Styela clava: one gene and its partner. The protein of the gene in region 1 purifies or fractionates together with the protein of each later gene. This does not show direct contact. Links are inferred from orthologs where the notes say so. Each region holds a gene or a part of one and is shown in the gene's direction. Other genes may lie near its edges. The genes, in order: DNA (cytosine-5)-methyltransferase 1-like and uncharacterized protein LOC120347059.

What was found.
Region 2: the proteins of DNA (cytosine-5)-methyltransferase 1-like (region 1) and uncharacterized protein LOC120347059 purify together in Homo sapiens (affinity purification with western blotting; 3 studies listed by BioGRID and IntAct, with this or other methods). This does not show direct contact. The link is inferred for Styela clava from reciprocal best matches to the Homo sapiens genes DNMT1 and SIRT1.

What each region holds. Positions count from the first base shown.
Region 1 is NC_135257.1:3,596,473-3,609,677, forward strand, and holds DNA (cytosine-5)-methyltransferase 1-like, read left to right. Parts: upstream 1-7,777; 5' UTR 7,778-7,827; coding exon 7,828-11,928; 3' UTR 11,929-13,107; downstream 13,108-13,205. UniProt on the Homo sapiens protein: Methylates CpG residues. Preferentially methylates hemimethylated DNA. Associates with DNA replication sites in S phase maintaining the methylation pattern in the newly synthesized strand, that is essential for epigenetic inheritance.
Region 2 is NC_135260.1:19,825,278-19,838,446, forward strand, and holds the start of uncharacterized protein LOC120347059, read left to right. Parts: upstream 1-7,240; 5' UTR 7,241-7,370; coding exon 7,371-7,476; intron 7,477-8,232; coding exon 8,233-8,454; intron 8,455-8,861; coding exon 8,862-8,989; intron 8,990-9,547; coding exon 9,548-9,667; intron 9,668-10,079; coding exon 10,080-10,172; intron 10,173-10,247; coding exon 10,248-10,348; intron 10,349-13,006; coding exon 13,007-13,113; intron 13,114-13,169. UniProt on the Homo sapiens protein: NAD-dependent protein deacetylase that links transcriptional regulation directly to intracellular energetics and participates in the coordination of several separated cellular functions such as cell cycle, response to DNA damage, metabolism, apoptosis and autophagy.

The sequences.
Region 1 (13,205 bases):
TCTATCCTGTTTGTGACTCAGACCACCCCTTTTGAAAAAAAAAAAAATTTTTCAATCGCCAATTGCAAGCTCTTTAAATAAGCTTTCCAACGAGCCGTCAGTGGGCAGCAGAGGATCATTACTTTTTCGTTAGTCGATCGATTAGTTGTGGGGGTACAAATGCATAAAGTCGGCGTAGCAAATACGATTATTTAATAAAAAATAAAAATCGCATGGAAAGGGTTAAATGTGTTCGATTTATTCTATTCTACTTGTATCAAAGTTAGACATTTATCACAGGTGTCGCTGCTAGATAACCAACATTGGTTTTTTCGCGTCACCCTTCACCATGAAATGCCTTTATTTATGTTTTCTCTAATTTTTGTTCGCATTACGTGTATGTTTCATTTTGGTGAAAAATAAACGACTGACTGACTGACTGTTCTCGGTCGATTGATAGATGTTTTGAAGTTCATTGGTTGTCACGAGCTGTCCCTCCGTGGGCACGATGAACGGGCTGGCTCTTCTAATAGAGGGGTATTTTTGGATATGGTGGAATACACCGCATCCCTAGATACAGTATTGAGAGATCATCTTGATGCCGCAACTGTTTCGAAAGGGACATCTAAGGATATCCAAAATGATTTGCTCGACTCAATGTATAAAATTTATTTACAACATTTGGCTCTGGAAATTGAGAATTGCCAGTTCCTTTCGATTCAGTCTGACGAGACAACTGACATCACGTGCGTTTCCCAACTGGCTGTGATTTTTCGGTCTGTGAAAGATGGTAAACCTACCGAGAGATTTCACAGCTTTGTACCAATCGTTGATCCCACGGCTTGCGGGATATCGGCTGTACTAAAAGAAGTGTTACAGCCTTACAACGCGAAGTCAAAATTGATAGCTCAAACTTATGACGGCGCGGCAGTCATGAGTGGGTCGAAACATGGTGTTCAAGTTTATATAAAAGAAGATTTTCCTCATGCGCATTTTTTACATTGTTATGCACACCAATTTAACCTCGTTATTAAAAATATGTGTCTTGATACCCCTCTCGTCCGTATATTTTTTGCAAATGTTTCGGGGTTTTCTTCATTTTTTTCCGTTTCGCCGAAGCGCTCTGACCTCCTTCGCCAGATATGTAGCCACGTCTCCCAGCTTGTGCACCAACACGTTGGAACTTCCAATCACGCGTGGTGTAGGGCGTGTCCAAAATTAGGTCTGAGCTCATTGAGTGTTTCAATGGCATTCAGAGCTCTCCGGTTTGGGACGAACGCTCTGTGAGGGAGGCGGCAGGTCTAAAGCGTCTGCTAGTAGATGGTGAGTTTTCATTTTTTCTCGCTTTTTTCTCCACAATATTCTATCACGTGGATGTATTATACGGCGCATTGCAGTCAAGGCTAATGGATGGAGCGTCTGTGCAGTCGTGTATTTCAGACTTCTGCGATGCTGTATCTCGTATCCGGGAAACAATAAAATACGACGACACGTGGAGTGCTTCTTTACACCGCGGGCAAACAACGCAGCGTTTGATTTTGTCTGCAAAGGAATGCTGTGACATTCTGGTGAATCAAATAGGCGATTGTCTGCGCACTGAACACCTTGCCGCGTTCTCTTTGATGAACCCCAAAAATTTTTCAAAATTTGCACGTCAATCTCCCATCCATTTGTTGGCTACTGTCTCCAAATTTTACCCCATGATAAACGTGGGTAAATTGGAAAATGAATTGCGATGTATATACACCAATCAAACTTTTTTGAACATCACATCAACTTGCGCGCTCTATGGGTTCCACATAGATAACACTCTAGTAACTACCTTTGCGGCGTCTGCAAAATTTCTGGACATCATTTTGACGACGCCTATTTCTTCCGCCGACGCAGAGCGAACATTCAGCACGCTGAAGCGTATTAAAATGTATCTCAGAAACACAATGAAGCAAGATAGATTAAATTCCCTGGCTGTTTTATCCATTCACAGAGACGTTATTTCTGGGATGCATGACTTTAATCAGCGCGTTATTGAGCATTTTGCTTCCAAGAAACCGCGGCGTGTTGCATATATGTTCAAGCAGTAGAAGTCTAGCAGCATATATATCTATGAGTGAGCGACGCATGTCCTTATCTTTGCATTAACTTTCCTTTCTTCATAGCAACGTTTTAAACCTTATTTTAGGTTTTGTCTGCTTTCCCGAAGTTTCTGTTAATATGTCATTGTATTTATCTGGGTAAATATTGCCTTTGCTTTTGAAAGAGGTTTCAAAATAAACTATGTCTATATTTATTAATCCCTTGACTTGGACCGGTTTTAAAGACACTTTCTTATCGTTAAAAATTGTCGCTTTTGCCGATTGGTTGTTACCGATGGAATGGTTTTCATACTCATAAAATGATGGGAGAACTTACAGCGCTCATCCTGTCCCCGTAGATGAGGGTGACTTGGTCCCGCAGTAGCTTGCCCCGGTTGTCAAAATGACCACGCGCCGCCACTGCGATTAACCATCGGTAATCAACACTTTTGCAGTGTGGCGTAATATGTGTTCTATGTTTAACAGCTGTTTTGACACAATATCGCAATTATTTTTGCTTTTCAGGATCCATAAGTGAATGTGATAAATTTCTTGTTGAAAATAATGCTGTGCGAGGTCTGATGGAGTTTTTTGGCGATAGGGGGTTCAATTAAAGAATGACGACTGAGCAAAGAATTAATATCAAATTTTGTGTCAAACTTGGAGAAACGGCGACTGAGACTTTGCAGATGTTGCGTGTTGTTTATGGAGATTCTTTCATGTCCAGAACAAGAGTTTTTGAATGGCACAAGCGATTTGTGGAAGGCAGGGAAGAGGTGGAGGATGATCCGAGGTCAGGGAGGCCTTGCACTTCCACTACTGATACCAACATCGAAAAGGTTTGACAGTTGGTTCGCAGTGACCGTCGCTTAACAATTCGCGTCATTGCCAACGAAATTGGGATGGACAAAGAAACGGTCCGCACCATTTTGGTTGACACTTTGGGAATGCGAAAGGTGTGTGCCAAAATGATGCCAAAGGCTCTTGAGTTGACTGAGGAGCAGAAAGCTCAACGATTGAATGCATGCCGAGTTGACATGCATTTTTCCAAGTTTGACGCAAAATTTAATGTTAATTCTTTGCTCAATCGTCATTCTTCAATTGTTAAACATAGAACACATATTACGCCACACTGCAAAAGTGTTGATTACCGATGGTTAATCGTGTTGCGCAATCTGTGACGTCAGTCCCGTTTCTTTTTAGCCGCACCTCGTAGACAGTCTGTGCAACCGATATTGAGGTATTTTTCGAATATTTTTTATTATACCGAAAAAACAACCGGGGCATTGCGTCGGTTGGCCCTATTGACGCGCCGCCACTGGGTTGTACTGATTGAGAAGTCGAAAACTCAACTAGGTGCATTAAATACTTAGTCATAAATAGAAACTCTACAGCAGGAGATATTGATGTTTAAAGTACAATGTTTTCTATCTCATACCCCTAAGAAAATGTATGAAACTGAGGAAGCAGAACGCGCTATGGTCTATGAACCCTCTGGACTATGAATCTTCCCCCAACCGTTGACCCCCGAAAATTCTTCCTATACCTATAGGCGCGGCGATGTGGCTCAACGGGCTAAGCGTTAGGAATACGCTCGCCACCGCACCTCTAATTACTCTGCATGGGTTCGCATGGGAGAGTATTGCTGGACTCCTCGCCGTCGTTGGGTGGTTCACGTAACCGCTGGTCGGTTACGGCTTCCTCCGACCTCCACCACCAAGTCCATGCTTCCGAAAACAAACAATATAACTAATCCCATACCAAACTTGGAATGGTAACCGGACGAGAGGCCGTGGTTCGCCATATGGATAAGCCGTATAAATATGTAAATCCTATCCTACTTTACCATTGCAAAATTTTCAAGGCTAAATTTTAAGAGTGCTTCTGCGAGTTGGCGCCTGTAAAATGTGGTATGTTTCAAACCATGATTATGATTCATTGCATACAACAATCTGTTTTTTGAAAGTACCGGTGAAGAATTTTAGCCTAGTCTATCACAGCTATTTCTACACAAATCTTTTATTACTGCAGTTAAATTAAAACTCCTAGGAAGACATAGTGATCAATAAATTATCTGATTTATATTTAGGTTTCCGGAACACAACCGAAAACTAACGAGTTCAAAAACGCGAAAACGAGGTAATGTTTACAGACCACGCTTGAAAATCTGTCTGAGTGAGAAAAGTGTCTGAGCTGATGCGAAAAGGGAGCATTGTTACGTCACTTTTTGCATCTTGCTGATTGGCCAATGTCACGCAGTAAACAAGGAAGTCGATGATCGGGGAAAAGTCCATTAGGTACACGAGTGACTCCACGAAAATCTGAGATATATCGCTTTTCTGTTGTCCAAATACACTTAAAATACGTTATATATTTTGCACTTAACATCGCATATCTTATGTACATATGGCACATCGGGCGTTTGCGTTTTTTATGGTTTTTGCCGCCAAACTTGATGTGGCCGAGTTTTAGCATAGAACGCTATTCGCGGGAAACTGCGATACTTGCTTTTGTTTGGGAAAAGGCTTGGATATTTTGCGTTCATATTCAGGTCATTATTGCAGGAAGTATAAGTTTATTTCGACTCCATATTCAGCATAACAATAAAATGATTGATAAAAACAATTGGGTAAAAACTGATTATGAAAAATCAGGAGAGCAAACAAAATATCTGAATCTTTAAAACGTACATACGGTACCGTAAATGCTGAAATGGGCTATTCAAAGTGACACTACAGGACAATTCCAGAAATTTTGCAAGTTGTTGGATGCTATATAATTTTACATTTTCAGCTACATGTTTTGTTTCATTGTCCAATCAGTTGCTTTATTGAATATGTAAAAAATTGCACAAAAGTTACACCCAGGACTTACGGTACTTGGTAGATAAAAAAATATATTGTGACACTACAGGACGGCAAATCCACCATGCACTACCAGTACGTTGTGTTGTGCTGTAAATTTTTGCGATGGTACAGTAGGAGCCCATAATATTTTCTGGTGCAGTAGCTGAACTACCCCTATATGTGGGGTCTCTTTCATGTGTCAATCCTAACCCCCACCTGACTATGCCATCCAAATATTACGTCTCTACGACGTCACAGTGACGTGATAGAGACCTTCAAACTATACGAACTTTCATCCAAGACGCGCACCCGAAATCAAACGGCTATTTCTCTCGTTTTTACGTCGCGACGATTCCAGTATGAGAGAGATCGCTGATGTTAGTAAGTTCTTTATCGTCGGCGCCGATGCCATTTCTTGCGATAGTACGTATATTTAACAAGCTCTATGACATGATTGTGATGTAATTTTTGGATGGCATAGTCTGGTGGGGGTTAGGATTGACATGTCAAAAAATTGTGATGCTACGCCCACTAGAAGTATGTTGGGTAAGAAACTACACGAGACCCTCTATGTGTTGCTCAAGTTACTTAATGTAACACTGTAAATCCATGCCAATAATGTGCATATTGTATGTGACACTACAGGACATTTTTCCACTTCGAAATAGCGGCCTCTATCATCTCTTAAAATTCTGGTAATAAATTGTTAAATGGGTAAAGAAATGTCCTACAGCACTGCAAACATTTAAACTTTATTAACTTAAACCCAGTGCGTCAATTCCATATGAAAAAACTGTACCACACAATTATACCAAAATTTCTACATTTCAGGCCATTTTTTATAAACCATCAAAAACCGGGTCTAGTATAGTTTAGTACCACAAGTACTTCCAGCGGGCATAGAATAACGAATTTTGCATATGTTATTCCTAACCCCCACCTGACTATGCCATCCAAAAATTACGTCACCAACACGTCATGGGGCTTGCCAAATTATAATTACGATCGCCCGAAATGGCATCTGCGCCGTTGACAACGAACTCGCTAAAGCCGGCGATCTCTCTCCTATCGTGAACGCTGTGACGAGTAAACGAGAGAAATCGCTTGCTCGATTTCGGGTGATTGTCTGCACGTTTTGGACAACCTTCCGCATACTTTGATGGACCATATTACGCTACTGTGATGTCGGAATGACGTAATTTTTCGGTGACGTAGTCAGATGGGGGTTAGGATTGACATGTGCAAAAATTATTGAGCCAGGCCAATTAGAAGTGCATGTGGTACTAAACTATACCAGACCCCAAAAACCTAGGTGAAATTTTAAATTGTTCGATGAAATGAATGCAGTCCAATAAAATTCCAATGTCTTTTGATATCAGAAATAAAAAAAATTACTTTCACTACACTTTTTAAAAAATTGATGGAATTCAACTTTTGCTTGGAATGGCCCAAATAAATATGTAAATCCTATCCTAATCAGAGCTGCTGTGGCGGTAGCGGTACAATACACAGATCATTACAACTTTTGGATCTGACTAAGCAAACTGCCTGAATAACAAACAAAAATGTAATGTCAGAATGTGGGTCAACAGCTAGATAACCTCTGCAGAGTTCTTTCACCTATGTTTTTTTTTATTTCATTTTGTTAATAATGTATGTTTGAGTTACGCATGATGATGAATAAATAATATTACTACCAGTATACCACTTCCCAACTTGACTATCAAAAGGAAATTTCTAGGTTGGTGATATTAATTACAACTACTGATATTCAGATTTATCATAAATTTATTATTTATACTCTGTCGTTATTTTCTTCTATGCATTAACTTTGCTGTTTACAAGCAAATCTTGTGAAATGGTCGATGGCAAATATTGGATTGTCCTATTATATACAGAAGTAAAGAAAAAAAATTTTATTCAATATTTTTTTTATATATTACCTCAAATTCAATATGAAAATTGCTCTATTGTTGCACAATGCTGAGTGAAGAATTGAGCAAATCCTGTTATCAGTTAGTTTTTTGGTTTTTGCTAGTTGCGGCTAAAACAATCAAAGTACAGACGTAAAGGCTGTAGGGCACAGTTCTCTGATTTCGAAATGTCCAGACATTTGGTTTAAAAAAACAAACAATCTATTTGCCATCGTGATCCTAGCGAAATTGCGGCGAAATATTTTACCCACAAATCCCAGCGGTGTTCACTTCAAAAATCTGACATTAAAGTGCCATTACCGCGACATATAGAAATATACATTGCTGAGAATCAGAGTGTATTCAAGAAATTCAATTTCGATTTTCTAAAAGATCTCTTATTAGGAGTAGAAATATTTTTATTGTACATTAAAGTATATTAAATTTACTTGTCTTTAGAATTTAAAAAATAATACGCATCCACATTAGTTCAAAAGATAAAAGGGCGTTTCGACGTATTAATCTGCGATTCTCTAAAATATCCCACATTAGGAGTAGAAATATTTTTATTGTACATTAAAGTAGAATAAATTTACTTGTCTTTATAATTTAGAAAATAACAAGTTTTCTGGCTGACTGTATGTTAAAACTTGTAACAGTATAAAAATATTTTTCCCAGTATGCATTCATGCAGTGAAGATGTGTTTGTTTTTTGCATCATATTGGTCAGTTAATAGAAATAAAGCTGTGCTCATGTTCTATATATGTTATGGTCCATAGTCAATTTGTAAATTCGGGAATTTTACATTATTATTGATAGGAAAATTTAGGCTACATTCTACCACATACGAACAAACAGGTTGGTATATTGGCGTAAGTTTAGCTTAGTATATCTTCATGCATCTGCTATTTATATTGTGCTCTTCTTGGTCATTATGGTTTTAAATTCTGTTACACTCTTAGTTTTACAGTTTAGGTCTTATTGTGTTATTGCACTCAGTATTAAAATTTTGAAGAATGCTGAAAAGTTCAACCCAAAATGATGAGAAAAAACACAAAAAGGCTTGTATTCAACCTACCATTGCTGATATGTTCAAGAGGAAAGCAAAACGAAAAGCATCTGAAGAAGATAAAGAAAATGGTCCAAATGATAATTCATTCAACGATGAGGTCGTAAATAACACCTCAGATATGAAACGACTGAAGACAAGTATTGAAAATAATGTAATATGTGAGAATGGAACTACTGAATTGAAATCACACAAAGAAACAGAATTACAAAAAGACAAAATCGTTGGGGAAATTTTGCAAAAAAAGACACCAAATACAATGAAATGTAAATATTGCAGACAGTTACTTGACGAAGTTGAAATGTTTGAAGGTGACACACCAGATGCGAGTGAAGAATTCATTGCTCTCACTCACGAATCATTGGCACTGTTTGTGGGCAATGAAGAGACTGGCCGTCCTCAGCACAAGATCACTAATTTCAGTGTTTATGACAAGAATACACATTTGTGTCCGTTTGATGCTGGTTTGATTGAGAAAAATGTTGAGCTATTTTTCAGTGGTGTTATCAAACCTGTATATATTGAAGATGCAGGTGTTGAAAATGGAGTGCTTGGAACCAGGTTGGGACCGATCAATGAGTGGTGGACTGCAGGTTTTGATGGTGGTGAAGCAGCTCTCGTTGGATTTTCAACTGCATTTGCTGATTATTATTTGATGGAGGCTAGTGCTTCTTATTCTAAGCTATGGAATAGCATGCAAGAGAAAATTTATATGAGTAAAATCGTTATTGAGTTCCTTACTGATACAATTGAGGCAGTGTATGAGGATTTAGTAAATCGTATCCAGACTTGTGTTCCACCTGCCAACTTAAATATCACTCATTTTACAGAGGACAGTCTCCTACGCCATGCACAATTTGTTGTTGAACAAGTAGATTCTTTTGATGGATCCAGGGAAGAAGATGAAGATTCATTACTATCTCATCCATGCATGCGTGACCTTGTCCATCTAGCTGGTGTTACCCTGGGTAAACGTAAAGCAGTACGAAAGCGTATTATCAAAGACAAAAAGGCTGTAAAAGCTTCATCAACAAAAGCTACAACAACGCCTCTTGTGGCCTTCATGACAGAGTCGTTTTTTCAAGGAACAGTTGAGACAAAAGTCAGTGCACCACGACGAAAACGATGTGGTGCTTGTGAACGATGCTTATTGCCAGATTGTGGAAATTGTAATGCTTGTAAAGATATGGTGAAATTTGGTGGAAAGGGAATCGCCAAACAATCTTGTGTGGAAAGAAAATGTCAAGAAATGATATATGATGTAGACAAGGGTTCAGAAACTGAAGAAGAAAAAGATGTAATTGTTGAAAAATTACCAAAAAGTCCGAAATCGAAGGGTCTACGAAAATCAAAAAATCTTCACAAGTGGGTTGGTGATCCCTATGTCCCATTTGGGACTGAAACTTCCAATAAAATATATTATGGCACTGCCAAAATTAATGAAGATGAAATAACTCTTGGTGATTGTGTCTCTGTACTTCCTCAGGATCAAAGTAAACATCTTTTCATTGGTAAGATTATTCAAATGTGGGAGGAACCTGACAAAACAAAAATGATTCATATTGATTGGTACATTCGTGCTACCGAATCAATTCTAGGCGAGGTTGCAGATAAAGGAGAATTATTTTTAATTGACGATTGTGAAGACACAAAACTTGAGTTTGTGAATAGTAAGGTAAATGTTGAAATGAAAAGCACTCCTGAGAATTGGTTTACGCTTGGAGGTGAAATTCCTGAAAAGCATAACTGCGATGGAATCAGCGATTTCTTCTGTCAGAAATGGTATGATTCTGATATTGCTCGATTTGAGGACCCCCCGATCTCTTCATGCAAAGAGGGGGAATGTGAATCATGTGCCAGACTCAATGCTAAAGATGAAGCTGGTGTTCCAAAAGCAATTGATGAAATAGAACGGACCGAAAAGAAAGTTGTTTACAATAAAGTACAATATGATGGAGTGAGCTATTCTGTTGGTGATTCTGTATATCTTCCAGTGGAGGCATATGGATTCGATTTCGTTCAGCCAAACAATAATGAAGAAAAGCCAAAAAAGAACAAGAAAATAGACTTTGAAAAATACCCTGAATATTATCGCAAATCTACAAAACACATCAAGGGGAGTAATGAAAACGTCCCTGAGCCTTTTCGGGTTGCAAGAATAGTATCAATATTTTCTAATATGAAGACAAATGGCAATCCAAGTGATCAAGTCAAAATTCAAGTTAGAAAGTTTTATCGGTCTGAAAACACACATAAAGGTATCAGCGGTAGCTACTCTGCTGATTTAAATCTTCTCTTCTGGTCTAGTGAAAAGACTATCGTGAACTTCACTGAAGTTCAAGGTAAATGTAGAGTTGAACATGAGTTAGACCTGAAATCAAGTATCGTAGAATACACAGCTGGTGGTTCTGACAGATTTTATTTCAGTGAATCATATGATGCAGATGACAAGTCATTTGATGATCCACCACTGTCTGCAAGACGCATTGGACAATCAACAGGAAAGAAAACAAATGTTAAAGTTCATGCTAAAAAGATTAAAGTTACTGATGAAAAAGAGAAGATTGATGATGAATGTGAATCAAAACACAGTTTTAAAAAATTGCGTACATTGGATGTATTTGCTGGTTGTGGTGGCCTCTCGGAAGGTTTTCACCAAGCGGGTATTGCAGAATCTTGCTATGCTGTTGAGCTTTGGGATCCAGCTGCTCAGGCATATCGTTTGAATAATCCCGGTGCTACTGTTTTTACAGAAGATTGTAATGTCCTTCTTCGACGTATCATGGATGGGGAAGAAAAAAATTCATGCGGGCAAACTCTTCCACGAAAAGGGGATGTGGAACTTTTGTGTGGTGGTCCACCTTGTCAAGGATTCAGTGGAATGAATAGGTTCAACTCAAGAGAATATTCTCGTTTCAAGAATTCTCTAGTCGTATCTTACTTGTCGTACTGTGATTATCTTCGCCCAAAGTTTTTCTTGCTTGAAAATGTGCGCAATTTTGTTTCTTTTAAAAATTGTATGGTGTTAAAATTGACTCTGGCTTGTCTAGTGAGAATGGGTTATCAATGCACGTTCGGAGTGTTGCAAGCTGGTCACTATGGTGTTGCTCAGACAAGACGACGAGCAATCATTCTTGCTGCAGCACCAGGAGAAAAACTACCTCTGTATCCTGAGCCTCTACATGGATTTTCGCTGAAAAGTGGATCTTTGACTGCACAGGTTGATGATAAACGTTACATGAATAACATCACACGTCTTAGCTCTGCACCTTTTCGAACTATCACAGTACGAGATGCGATGTCTGATTTGCCGAAAATTCCAAACGGATACTCTAAATTGGAAAGGCAGTATGATTCAGAACCATTGAGTGACTTTCAACGAAAAATTCGTGGCACAAGCTACCAGCCTATTCTACGGGATCATATATGTAAAGAGATGAGTCCACTTGTCGCAGCTAGAATGTCTTATATTCCTCATGCACCTGGTTCAGATTGGAGAGATCTTCCAAACATAACTGTAAAATTCGCAGATGGAACCACCTCCAAGTTATTAAGATACACTCATAATGATAAGAAGCAAGGCAAAGGCCCAAATGGTGCATTAAGAGGTGTTTGTCAATGTGCGACGGGACAGTCCTGTGATCCTATGGATCGTCAGTTCAATACACTGATACCTTGGTGTCTTCCCCACACTGGCAATCGTCATAACCATTGGGCAGGTTTGTATGGTCGTCTTGACTGGGATGGATTTTTCAGCACTACTGTTACTAACCCTGAACCTATGGGTAAACAAGGGCGGGTTTTGCACCCTGAGCAACACCGCGTTGTCAGTGTTCGTGAATGTGCTCGTTCTCAAGGGTTTCCTGACACATATCGATTTTTTGGCACAGTCTTGGACAAGCATAGAGAAGTGGGGAATGCTGTCCCTCCTCCAATGGCAAAGGCTATCGGGTTGGAAATCAAAAAATGCCTCCAGTGGAAAGTGGAACAAGGAGTGAAAGTTAAACCAGAGCCAGAAATAAAACAAGAAAAAATTGATAACATATAGACTTGATTCTCTGTTATGGACTTCGATTTTGGCAACATACCGTTGTATCATATGTCAAGCTCATTGAATGCTATTAAAATTTCAGAAAAGAATTATAAGACTTTGTTAATGTGTGTTGCTATTGATTTCCAAGTTGTTAACAACGGTAGAGCTGGATAAATTAAGTTATAATTCAATGTCGCTACACTCAGGAACAAATTTAGATCAAACATTTTCATGTGTATATTTCAAAATTCTGAATGATGAATGATATCTAATGTACTTTCATCTTAATATGTAATATGCCAACTTAGTTTTTCATTATATCAATATATGAAATTACAATTGTGCACTCATTTTTGAATGTATTTCAGAAAAAATTTTGACTTGTGTTGTATGTGGTACAGTTTAGGTTGTTCCAACTTTTTGGACGGACTTTTATATTATAATTTTCTAAGTCATGTTCCTTGCACTCTTTTATACAAGGATTTTCTGCTCAATTACACTGCCGATATTTCTTGTAATACAATTACTCAATATGTGCAGATTTCAATGTCTTAATATTTTGTATATGTTGTCAAGTGCAACTAAATTTGAACTTCTGCATGTGTATTTTTTGATAGTTTCACAAAGTGAATCGTTCATGAAGTATATAATAAATGTAAACTTATATTATTTACACAAAATGAAACAAACGTATACATTAACCTTTTGCATATGTATTCTTTACAATTCAAGTTGATCTTTGTATGTATTCTGTCGGATAATGTGGTTTATATGTAAAGAAGACATGACAACTTTGATAGGATCTGAATCATTTCATTGAGAAACGATCATTAACTTTAAGGTGTTTGCTCTTGGTTAATTTGTGCAATAAATTCAAGCCTCATTTCATATCTTGAATGCTGAATGAGTGTGGAACCCTGGCTTTGGTTCCACCTTTCATACACACACATATTTCCGAAATTTCAATGCATTGATTACATATTATTTGATTAAACTTGATATAATTAAGTTTCCATCTGGATTGAGTATCATTGTTTACAAATTGTTAATTATAACCTCGGATCATGCACTTGACTTAGTAGAATTTCATAAGTACCAAGTTTTGTATAAAGATTGGTTCCCACCTTGTGTTTTTTTTTTTGTTTAAATTGTTAACAGTTTGTCTAAATAAACATGTTTCATACCAATGCTTGATCCTAACTATTTTTTCTGTTTGTTATCTGTTTGTTAAAGTGCAGCAATAACTCCGTACATTGAAGATGAACATATATCTTATGAAAGCATGTTAAGCG
Region 2 (13,169 bases), on another chromosome or scaffold:
TATGCAGATAACTGCACACGCGCTCAAAAGAAATTTCGCCGATCCCAAGTGCCAATAAGCTCGGTTCTTTGGGCGCAATCCTAATAAAATCGCCATAAAAAGTCGTGTTTTTTACGTCACGGTTAATTTGATTATGTAATTTTATGCGGATTAAATGTTTCATCATTCATTCAAATCATACAATCCAGTATTAAGACCTGCCTAATTTTCTGTCGCAAGTGTTGAAAATTCCTCAGAAAACCTTGCAAAGTATCCACGTATTATCTAAACAGCAAAAAATAAACATTCCCAAACCATAAATGTTAGATGACTGCCCAAACTTCCTAATGTACAATTTCCTCCAATTCCGATTCTGTGCTCGCTTGGAATTAAAAAGTAGTAGGCCTTTTGATGCTACTGCGAGTGAGACAAATACTTTAGAGCATACTGCAGAAGTTATTTTACGATCGTTCGTCAGTCAAGGCACACGATATTTGGCAAGTTCATTTCTTAAAATTGGCAGCGGCGAAACTTGCCTTTGTTACGTAATAATATGCCCTATTGGCCTTGCCCAGGCATAAATACTATATGTGTATACTGTATCGTATTCTGCCTGTGAGCGGTACTGTATTATTCATGTTTTGAAAACACATAACATGCGCTGCAAACTTGTTAAAGACAATATTTTGAGATATTTTACCGAATTCTCAGGCGTGGTGACGCGTTCGACTGTATAGTCAAGACCCGACCGGTCGATCGTGATCAACGTGTTGGCCACTCTTGACTTTGGTTACTTTTATTTTGGTACATCGCCAGCAACCCTGCCTATACACAAATAAATACAAATGATATATAACATGAATAAAAAAAAATTAATTAAACATGTAGTGAAAATACCACATGTCAAAATAAAAGGAAATAATGCGGCTTATCTAACTGGACCAGCCCCTCAAAGAAAATAGGAAATAAATGTCGGATGCTCGTCGAGTGGCTCGCGATCTGGGGATATATATATATGATTGAAGTGTAAACATTTGAATCAACGCCAGTCGCGGCCAACTCGCCGAGCAAAAAAGAAACAACAAAAAAATACGCGAAATTTTTATTTGATGAAAACGACTGTATAATTATAATAGGTACCACTCGCCTTTTACTATCGACCAAATTGAAGTGAGGAAAAGTGTGAAGTGGTCGCATAAAAAGAAAAAAAAGACAATTGATCAAAATTATAAGTTGGTGACATGATAAATCTACAAATTAAAATAATAATGGTGGCGAGCGGTATAAAACTAATATATATACAAATACATGGCATATAGGCAGTGGCGTAGCATCCACCCCCGCAACCCCCGCGGTCGCGGGGGGAGGGGGGGGGGGCACAGCGAAAAGGGGCCCCAAGCGGTTAAAATTTAGATATTTAAGAAAACCAAAAGCTGCATTGCAAAAGGAGTAATGCACATCCTATAATGTTGATGTTGGTTCTGCTCAAATCGTTTCGTTATGTAACAATGCCGGAGTCGTCGATTTTCGGTGTCGTGTGGTTTGATCGCACCGGCCGCCGGCACGCACAATTACGAAGGCTGTCAGATTGATGTCGAAAGCAAAACTTCTTAGTGGCGCACAAAAACGAAGAATAAAGGGCAGAAGAGGAAGAACGTATGAAAAAAATTAAAGTAACCAATATAAACGAAATATTTAAACCAAAATTGAAACAATTAGACTTAGGAATACCGAACGTGACTGAGGAGGAATTAAGCCTAGCACCTGTTCGGTAGAAAACCAGATGCGTGTTCAATCTCCAAAAGTGATGGCGCTGGCGCAAATGAATTTACTTCCAAAACTTACGCGACAATTATCACAGGTAAGCTACTGATTTTTGAAGCAAATTAAAAAAATTGATATGACAGGTCGGGATGAATTACAAACAAACAAATTTGAAGCCACTGGATCAGTGGAGGTATTTCAGTGAGAAAAAGGCTCAAACTACATCGGGAAATTGCTAGTGGGAATCAACCGGGTGATTATGATCAATCAAATTATAAAACAATCACTCATAAAATAACACCTCATACACAAACTAAGAAAGGAGAATAAATTCAATAAAGAGTAGAATGCAGTGTCGGAAAAGAGGGTGAAGTCAGATTAGCCAACACTGCCAGGAAGTTCGCACCAAACCCTCCGGACTTGGTGGGAACCCCGGATGGATTTCCTGACGCAGTTACGGGAGACCGCCGTAGCGACCGTTTCAATCACACCCAAAGCAAGAAGAGCAGTCTGGTTTCCAACGGCATAACTGCTGAGAGAACCAACCACAAATGCGTAAACTCCACTACTTTGCCAAAGGCAACAGCAATGGAGCGACATAACTCTTCATACCGAAAGTGCTTCCGACGGGCCGCGTCATCTATAGCGGCTCGCCGTTGTCGAATGGTCACACCACATTGACCACTACGATCCGATTCGTCCAGATTTTCTTGAGAATCAAATCGGACCGCAGCATCTCAGCTGTTCTAGCGGTGTGCTCACGACAAACTACGTCGACATCGCACCTAGAAAACCTGGCTGGAGGTAGGTGAGCCAAGATCTCTTCCTGCTGCACCGAATCGTGCCGCTCTTTAATGATATTCATGACTGGGTGACAGTGATTCAGCATATGAGGAAGAGTCTCGTTTGCATACCCACACTTGCTACAAGTCACCCGTGGTTCCGCATATGCCGTAAACCGTCTACGAACGGATCGCAGCGGCAGAAGATTTAATCGAGCTTTCAAAAACCACGAACACTGATACTGGGCGAGAGAGACAGACGTGAAGAGCAACTTAATTTATGTGACTAAATACAAAAACAGCAGTTATCATTCCATTTGGACTACAATACAACCCTAACCTGTATCCCTACGTTATATTACAACCCTAGTATAAACCTCTTACTTTTAAACCCAATTAATAACTTCGATCCGAATCGTTTATCCTAACCGCAGATAGTAAACCCAATATTAAACACGATAAACAACTCCTAGCGCAATAGATTACACTGAATACAAGACAGAAGGTGCCAACCAGGGCTGCCACTTTTGCCTGACTAAAAACATCTAGATTGACCTCGAAAAACATCTAGTAACATCCCGATTGAAAAATAAAACATCTAGAAAATACATCTAGATATCAAATCCTTGAGTTTAATGCAAAGTAACCATAATACAGTAATATTAGATGTCGAAGAAGCTAACATCCTAACCTAGAACTCAATTCCCACCTGCAGAACTTACAAAATACCTTATTCTTATCATCTGAAGGGGCAAACCATTCCTTAATTAAGCCAATCTTTTTTAAATTTTTGCTGGTAGTGTATACACTTTGGCATTTTGAAAGGTTGATGTTTAAAGAGAGACACATTCAATAGCCCTAGTTAGCAATAGTTTCTATTTAACGTTAATTAAAACGTCACATGTTTTGAACATGTTAAATTCGTTATTCAAATATTTTGAGTACATATGGCTGTATGGTACCAGTGGACGAATACAATATGAGTGAGTTTTATCAATCTTAGTCAATACTTATAAATAATGAAACAATATTCATTCACCTATTACAGTATTATTTACATCTCTTTATTTATTTCCCACTGAAGAATATTTATAACCTTGAAAAAAATATCTAGAAATTATAGCTAACATATAGGCTCCAAATTTCACATCTAGATTTCGAAAAAAAAAAAAAGTTGATCTAGATGTAAAACATCTAGGGTTTTATTTCAAATGGACACTAGACATAATAAATGAGTTGATACATACTGATATGGATGGGCAATGAAGATTTACTCCAACACAGAGGAGCACTCTGCACGTGGTTTAAAGAAAAGTGTAGCTTACGTTCGGATGTACATCTTTCATATTTGGTGTATCTTGAAAGCATGGATGAAGTGCTTCAGTCGCAATAAAAATCAGGAGCTAAATATAATTCAGATATCAGAGTACTGTTGTAAAGCAAAATCTTTTTTCAAGCCTCATGTTTTGATAGACTCAGTAGCTGCAAATTCATAAACAACATAATTGAAAGTGTTATGACAAAAAAAAGAGATGCCTGAAATAATTGCCAGTAAAATGATTAGATCCGAAAATGACATTTTGGAATATTTTAGGGGTGCTGTGTTAAAAATGTTGGAAAAAATTTAAATATTGCGGTCATCCAGAAGATGTCTGCTACCACTTTTAGAGGATGGAATTTAGTTTGCTCATGTGTCCATCTACAGAATACCTGTATTCATTAAGCATACCTCAATTGAATTTTAAAAGAATGAATATCCCAATAAAATTCAGTTTTTGAGGTGCGAGTAAAAATCCCAATAAAGTTTAGTGCAATACAGCGGTGAGTAGTGACAGATGTTCTTCCTAGTCAATATTTCAAAAACTTCACATTGAAAATCGGTCTTGTGAAGAATTGTCAGATGATATCGAATAAGTGATATCATATAGATTTTCGTGTATTATGGATTCAAAATAACTTTTATTAAAGTGTAAGTACGATACGGTTCTCAACCTTTTTTAGTGTCAGAGCTTGTAATTGGCCTTGAATTTTAACTCTGACGTCTGGGAAAACCGCACTCGTGATGGATGTAGCAATAAATATTACAATAGCTAGATTGATATTTATATCATGACATCTATTTCAGTCCGAAACATTTTTCTTTCCAATCACATTGAAACGCCCGATTATATTTATAAAGCGTTGCGAGCCTTTTTAAAGGTTTGCTTGACAAAATAAGAATTAAATATTTTGTTCGAAAATACCTAATATTAGCACAGTGTGCGCAATAACCTTCTTGTGATTAATGGAAACAATCTGAAACGTAGACTGGACATTGGGGGGTATTATGACATCATAATGAGTCGTTCCTTATATTTTCGAGCAACGTCTGGGCAAAGTATGAATCAATGTGTAATCCTTTGTCATTGAATGATTTCCAATATTTACGGTACCTTATATACAACCTTCCAAACAATTTTATATTCTAATTTTCACACCCAGAGATAACATAGGAGTAACTTTGAACGTATATCACCCAAGACATTTCGGGGAGTCAACAACCGTATTTGATAAAGGAGATTTTCAAACTAACTAAACGAACAAAGCCACATTTGTCGTGGTTTGAAACACACCTATCGAAACCTGCAAAAATGATCGGATTACCTAAAAAGTCCTCCTCACTATCGGCCCTACATAATTTCCAGATAAACGTGCTATTACAGTTTTCCAGGTTAGGATCGTGTCGGCCGTTGATTGGTCGTGGGACGTGATGGCGAGTGGCGACGTTTTGAATTTGGAGTTAGGTTTTCCAAATTTAGGGACACTCGATTCGGGCTACACACATCTTTCAATTGTCTCAAATTTTAAGTTGTTTTACTGTTTTATTATCAATTCTTATATCAATTTTACCGTTGTTTTAATTGAAGAATAATACCACACAATAGCAGTACTAAACAATCAAAGATTCACTCGTTTTACATTGTAGACAATAAAGCGGCCGTCAAAGAAGCCTCGTCTCGCAAAGAACCGTAGGTGAAATACCTGCGTACTGTACAACTTTTCTGTGATTTAGTTTCTGCGTCCACATTACAAATAATGTGTGTTCTTTCAGCTTAGATTCAATTAATTTCAGCTGCAATATTCCCTAATTCCCCAAATCCCGCATTTGCTGAGTAAAAATCCGGAAACGTTGGTTCCAGAAATTTCAAATAGACAATCCCGAAGTGTGGAGTGGACTTTTGAACTTAGCTTTCTGTGCAGTGAAACTGACGTTACTTTGTGGTATGCAAGACAAGGTAGGGTCGGATTTACATATTTATGCTCGGGGAGAGGAAAGCCGATAATGCGTATCAACCATACGGCGAACCACGGCCTCTCGTCCGGTTACCAGTCCATGTTGGGTATGGGATTAGTTAGCTAGATATTTGTTTTCAGATACATGGACTTGATGACGGAGGAAGCCGTGTACCACCATACGGCGTAGAGGATTCCAGCAATCCTATCACACATAATTTACTCCTCCTGATATTCGAACCTACGAACCAAGGTAATCAAAAAATATTCATTTGTCGATACATTCACTTGTCCGTTCTCAATCCCTTCTTGATCATTGCGTTTTTTCTTTGAATGCTGGAACTAAAAGTTACTATTGCATGTGCTTTCATACATTTGCCATAGTGCCAAAATCATAAATCCGGTATACAAAAGTACTTAGTTAAATTTAACGAAGAGAGGATAGGATTTACATATTTATCCCGGGGGAGAGGAAAGCCGATAAGATGGCTTATCAATATGGCGAACCACGGACTCTCGTCCGGTTACCATTCCAAGTCGGGTATGGGATTAGGTATATTGTTTGTTTTCGGAAGCATGGACTTGGACTCTCGTCCGGTTACCATTCCAAGTCGGGTATGGGATTAGGTATATTGTTTGTTTTCGGAAGCATGGACTTGGTGGTGGAGGAAGCCGTAACCGACCAGCGGTTACGTGAACCACCCAACGGCGGCGAGGAGTCCAGCAATCCTCTCGCACATAAACATCTCTGCATGGGATTCGAACCTGCGAACCCACGCAGAGTAATTAGAGGTGCGGAGGCGAGCGTATTCCTAATGATTAGCCCGTTGAGCCACACCGCCGCGCCGGCGACTTGGATGTTATTTGAATTAGTAATCTTACCATTGGATTCATCCCATATAAACTTGTTATTTAGCATTGATCGCATTATGCAATTTTTTTAAATCCTATCTCGCGACCGCATAAAAAGCTTTCGCAAGCAGTGTGCGCCCGCCAGCCCTACGTTATGTAGCCTATAATAGCCTGCGCCTACCGTATCCTGATTTCATAATCGGTTTTTATTTATTTGTTCCAAACAATCACTTTATTGCCTTATTTTGCTGATTAGGAGGTTGAAATAAACTTATACTTCACTGCATTTAAAAACTTCATATTTTATATACTTTTCTATTAGTTTATAATTTGGCTCGTCATTTAGTGGTGCATCGAGTCATATGCGAATTTTTCTATAACTAAAATATTTTGATTCCATTTAGTACGATATCCACACTACTATTAAAATAGCATAAAAGTTGATAAAAGAATATTTATATATAATTTAATTCTTAATTTCTCAAAGATCTTGATTATAACAACCCTTTTGTAATTACACATCTCGAATCCGGTACCGGTATACGCTCCTGCACATTATGCCTTTGTTCTGATTTGCGATTTCCCAAATCCCAATGGCTTATGTGGTTCTGCCATCTTTCTAAAATCCTAGTCCATTTTTACAAATTTCAAGTTTTTTGTTGCTTTTGTGGTTTGTCTTCAGGGCGTTCCAGCGTTAGATAATCAGCTTTTGTAAGTGTCATGGCGGATAATATGGATGAAGATGATTTGGTTGTACCGTACAAAAAACTAAGAAAAGAGAAGGCCGGAATTGAGGGTGAAGATTTTGGAATTCAACCCAATTTAAGTGAGTTTATTTTAAAAGTTTTTATGGTACCGGTATATTGTGTACCGTACAGCCATATAGTCTACAGAACTCGAATGAACTGGATGAGGATATTCTGACAAGTCCAGAAGTCCTGTTGTTTCTAGCCATCACCCTCTAAATTCTAAAACAAAAGTCGCAATCGCTTGTTTCTCTATTAATTTGTTACACAACTGATTATGTTAGTCTGTGACTGCTAGGCTAAAACCTCCTCGAATATTTATCAAAATTCCAAGCACATTAATACCGTCAGACCGTATTTACTTTGACTTCATGTTAACATCATGGTTAAGATGACATTGCTGGGCTAATTTTCACTGTAGATTATTTACTTGTCATGTATATTCCTGTATTCTGTACCGTAATTTACAAAAATACAATGCATTATTTCAAAGTGTCTAGTGATGTCATTTCTGTATTATAATACTGATAATATGTCCAAGTCCAGAGGTCGTAATGAAAAAAATCATAATATGAGTCTAATTTTCAATGCATATCTGCGTATGACATCATTTATGTAGTCTTGATGCGGCAGATTCAAAGATTGATAGTCGTAGCCCTGAAATACCAAGTCACAGATCAACTACAAACACGTCGATTCAGTTGGTTGGCTTTGGGTGAGCTTATAATGTTAACCCTCGGACATAGAAAAGGTATTAGAAATGCATCAAGTGGGGAAAATTTCACTCTATCAATGCTTTATGTTTATATCAATTTGTTTTTTTCTCGTATTTACAGGTTCTCATTTCTCCAATGGGCTTGGTGATTCAAAGTATAAAAGTGGAGAATCAGCACCAGGACGTCATCTACGTTTTCATTCCGTTGAACAAGATGATGTCCAGAGTAGTTCAGGCAATAGTAGTAATATAGAAAATGAAAATCCCAATGATGAAGATAGCGGCAACATAAGTGATTCATCATCTCATGCAAGCTCTGGGGATTGGCAAAGAAGACCAGCTGGTTTGTAGCGGAGTTTTATTCAAAATTACGCTTTTTCAGGGTTCATTTTATTAATTTCAAATACCTTTCCCTCTTATTCTTAAGTAGTGAATAATTTGGTAATGATGCTTTTTTTTATTACAAAGCTGTATCCAATTCGAGTTAAAAGAATTTCGATTCAGATTCCAAGTTTTCAACATTATTTTATTCAAATGCCTGAGCCTTATTTCGATTAAAAAACTTGACTCGACTACAGACTGACTAGTCTCAAGACTCCAATGGCTTGTGATCCACGGTTTAGGGACTACCCGACAATTATTATTAAACACATTCATGCGATCCACTCTGCAGCGCCGTAATATTGTATCATAAAAAGTTTAAAAAAAGTGATATTATTCGTTCCTTTGACAAGGTATCTTTCTTCACAGGTATGATTGGATGGGTTCATGCACAGATGTTGTCAGGCGTCGATCCTAGAGAAATTCTTCACCATCTTGTACCAAGTTTATCCAGTAGTTTACCTGTAGACATCAATCCATTTACGTTATGGAAACTTGTGAGTTTTTTTTTACCTTTTAACCCTAACAAAGCTGTCTTACAACCCATACGCTGGTGAAAAATCTTATTGCTCAAACATAGTTATATTTATGAAATTGATGCTGGCATTTTAAAACAAAATTTGTTTTGAAAAGTCTCTTTGCCATTGGAAACATGCAACTGCATCTTTTTTAATACAACATTGTTGAAGGGCCGCCACACTCTAATTCTAAAATGAAAGAATTGGTATTTGACTCGACTTGGCACCGACCTAACGTGTATTGCCATAGCCTCGGGACTCTGTTGTCGTTATCTCCTAAATGAAGATGAACCATCCAACCAACCAAAGCGTCGTACGGCTGTACCATAAAAATAAGCAACCACTATAATTCGAGGTGGCACCTGGCCAACTTTGCATGCTTGGTGATGATCGTGATGCAGACACTATTCGAGGATTGATATGAGATCGCAATTTAAATTCAGAAGGTCCACGTTAAATCACAATCATATTCAGGCTATCAAAATCTTTGCTCTTTTGGTTGTCTTTTTCAAACTTATACTTTTTTTGCTATTTCAGGTTTTAAACATTCTGAGTGAGCCACAGAGACGACCAAAGTTATCCCACATCAATTCATTGTCTGATGTTGTCAATCTGATAAAAAATGCAAAAAATATATTAGTACTAACTGGAGCAGGGGTGAGTGATGTTCTATCATCAGAAAATGTAAATCTTCAATAAGGCAAAGTGAGAACTGAAGGGACATGATATATATACGTAAATGACTTCATCGAAAAAAATTGTCACCATCAAGGTTTATCAGAAAGCCGCCCGTCTTTAGTCTGGCCATCGATTATATGGTGGCCATTCGGTGCCCTCATTATAAGTTTATATCTGCCCTAAAGTACAGAAATGAGAGGGAAGACAAGCCGTGAAGCGAAACATCTCTTTGTTTGACATGAATATTTATCTCGGAGCAGCTAGACGCCATATTTACAGATATTATAGCTTAGTTCTGGTTAGTTCATAGCTCATTTATAACTGAGTTTAATTGAACTCAGAAAATTCTTCCCTCTGTCTGTTGTCACTAATTTAAATCTATGTTTGCAAGGTTTCAGTATCATGTGGAATTCCAGATTTTCGTTCCCGCGATGGAATATACGCTAGACTTGCAGTTGATTTTCCTGACCTACCAGACCCACAGGTTTGACTTATACTGTGTAAAAGTTTTCATGAGCAAATTGCATGACATCATAAATAATATTTTCTTTGTTTCTAGGCGATGTTTGATATATCATATTTCACACAAGATCCTCGACCATTTTTTAAATTTGCAAAGGAAATATATCCAGGACAATTCAAACCTAGCAGAAGTCACAGGTAGTTTTCAAACTTTTAAATTTTAAGAATGATAGATCATAGATGATAGTACTTTTTAGTGTTGGGGCAGTGCACTCAAGTCATGATTTGTACTTGTAACCACCAGTACTCGACTTAACTTCGAACACTCGGACGAACTGTGACTCAAAAACCCTTAAAAAAAATGTTTTCATATTTTGCGTAACTAATTCAATTTTCATATAGGTATATGTTTAATGACTCTTGTATCACATATTTTTTCACAATCACTTGCTAAAAGTCGCTACAAATGAGGGTGCTGCAGAAGTGTGTGTACCAACTACCAATATGGAGATAACTAATTTTGTCTTCCTACTTTACATCAAGTTGTGTGAAGCGACTGAAACCTATGGGCAGGGGGTATATTCACTGGGCTAAGGCAGACAGTCTCTGAACTTGTAATAGAACTAAAATGCGGAAAATGTGAATATAATTATGGCCTAACCCTAACCTGGTACCAGGGCTGGGGAGCTGGTTCGAAATCATGATGGCTCCGGCTCCAGCTCCGGAGTCGCAGTGTATTCAATCTTTAGTTCCAGCTCCGGCTCCATAGCCATTATCAGTAGTGCAGCCCAATAACGCATTTTGCTAATTGTTTTCTAAGTGTGGCATGTTATTTAGGCTGTAAACACCCTTCAAGTTGGTGTCATGATAATTCCTTTTTGTTCCTGCATGTAACTTTTGAATCCACTGAGAGTTATTTTATGCTGTATTTCCGGGCGAATCGATCTACCCAGCATATAAGGGTTTTACATATAACCCACCCCACAATAAGACGGGAAGGAATATCGGCTTCTGGAATGGTCGCAGCGTTTGCGCATTCGGTAAAATAGCTCATAATGACTTTTTCTACCACATAATATTTAACCCATAATAACTGTCTTTTTATTTTAATTTAATTGTGTTCAACATAACTGGCAATCATGCCGGCCAAATAAAATCTGTCGTGGGCCATTCTAAAGCAAAAATTATGGTGTTTTCTGTTTTATTTTCAGTATTTTATAATGTCGCTTTTTAATCAGGAAAATTTGGTTTGCGTATTGACTTCTTTATTTATCTTAGAATTTCATCACCGGTGATTATGTAATAACTCGTTTTCTCACAAATATGGTGCGCGACACAAAACATATGTCTTGAGAAATTGTGATTAAGGGAAAAATAAACACTGAAATAAAAGATGTTATGGCCTAATGTTTATGGCGACTAAAACAATTGACGCTTTTCACGAAATGCAACGCACATGTGATAGTAACGGCAATAGCCCTTCAACTCATGATAATTTAAACTGGCCTGACGGAGGGCAGGATTTTATGGTCCAAATTGAATAAGCAGACCCAAAATAATGGAAATTACCATCGTCACCCAATTAGATGCCGTCCCCCTCTCCCAAATCAGGCCAAAAGTTGGTTCTAGAATCGAGGCGTTTTCATAATTATCAGCGATGAGATGTTAAAGATAAATAGAGAAGTCAATTCGCAAGCCGAGTTTCCACATTGGAGAGTTATTATAAGATACTAAAATGAAAAGGAAAACACTATAAACTTTGTTCTGGGAGACTCCCAACAGCTAAAAAAAATGCCTTGTTAATCAGGTTAATCTCATTATATTTTTTGCCTACGACATATTATTTACCGGTTGACTTTGAAAATTATACAGTCACTAAAATAAATACTCGCGATATACTTTTTATATATTCAAAAAATAACAACGGAAATTGATGAGACTTTTCTCCAGAACATGCTATTTTATAGATCAAAACAAGATATAATGGGGCACTTTGCCATACATTTTTATGCCAGGTGACTGCTGCGGAGCATTTTGGAGTAGTTAAACCTTTCTTTTGTCGTAAAACGACTCAATCTCGAGATATGTTGAACAGAATTGAAGACATTTGAAATGGATTGGATATTCAACGCCACGAAAAAATCATAATATGTTACATGGAAATTCCAAAATCACTTCTTCGAAAATCCCTGGCCGTTAGGGTTTTTGAGCTTGACCGCAATCATGAAAAATTGCAGCTTAGTGGAAATGAGAATCAAAATTTTGATAAAAGTGAACCGCTTCAAATTTTGATACTAAACTTTCAAACATACAGAATAACTGAAAACTTTTTAAAAAATAGTAGGAACTAAAATTTTTAAAATGAATTATAAGCTGAAAAGAAAAGATTTTATCATTTGTAACGCTATCAGAAAAAAATTATAAATTTGAAAAACAAAAAATGAGATATTTAGGAGCTGGAGCCTGGAGCCACTAAATTTTTGGTAGCTCCAGCTCCATCTGTTATGAAAAGCTTGGCTCCAATTCCGACTTCGGCTCCATCAAAATGTAACGGCTCCAGGCTCCGACTTCAGCTCCGGCTCCCCAGCCCTGCCTGGTACACACACTACGAGAGTACCCAAATAAGCACTGCTTTTATATTTTTCCTCCTATATGAGAAACCTGTTAAATACTCGCTTTGTCCCATATGGCAGAAATTGAGGTAGATTACCGGTTAATTGTTTCAAATCCGAATACATGTGGACTGTTATGTATTCAAATATTTGACATTTTTGATTTAAGATTTAAATTTTGATGAACTAAAATCTTAGTAGGATCCGATGTTCTTTACTTAATTTCCATCTTCCCCATTTCCAGGTTTATATCATTGCTACAAAAGACTGAAAGATTGCTCAGGAATTACACTCAAAACATTGATACTTTAGAACAAGTTTCGGGTATATCAAAAGTTATTCAATGCCATGGTAAGTTAATATAGAAGATGTTAAAGAAAATTTAGTATTAAACTCGAAGTAAAATC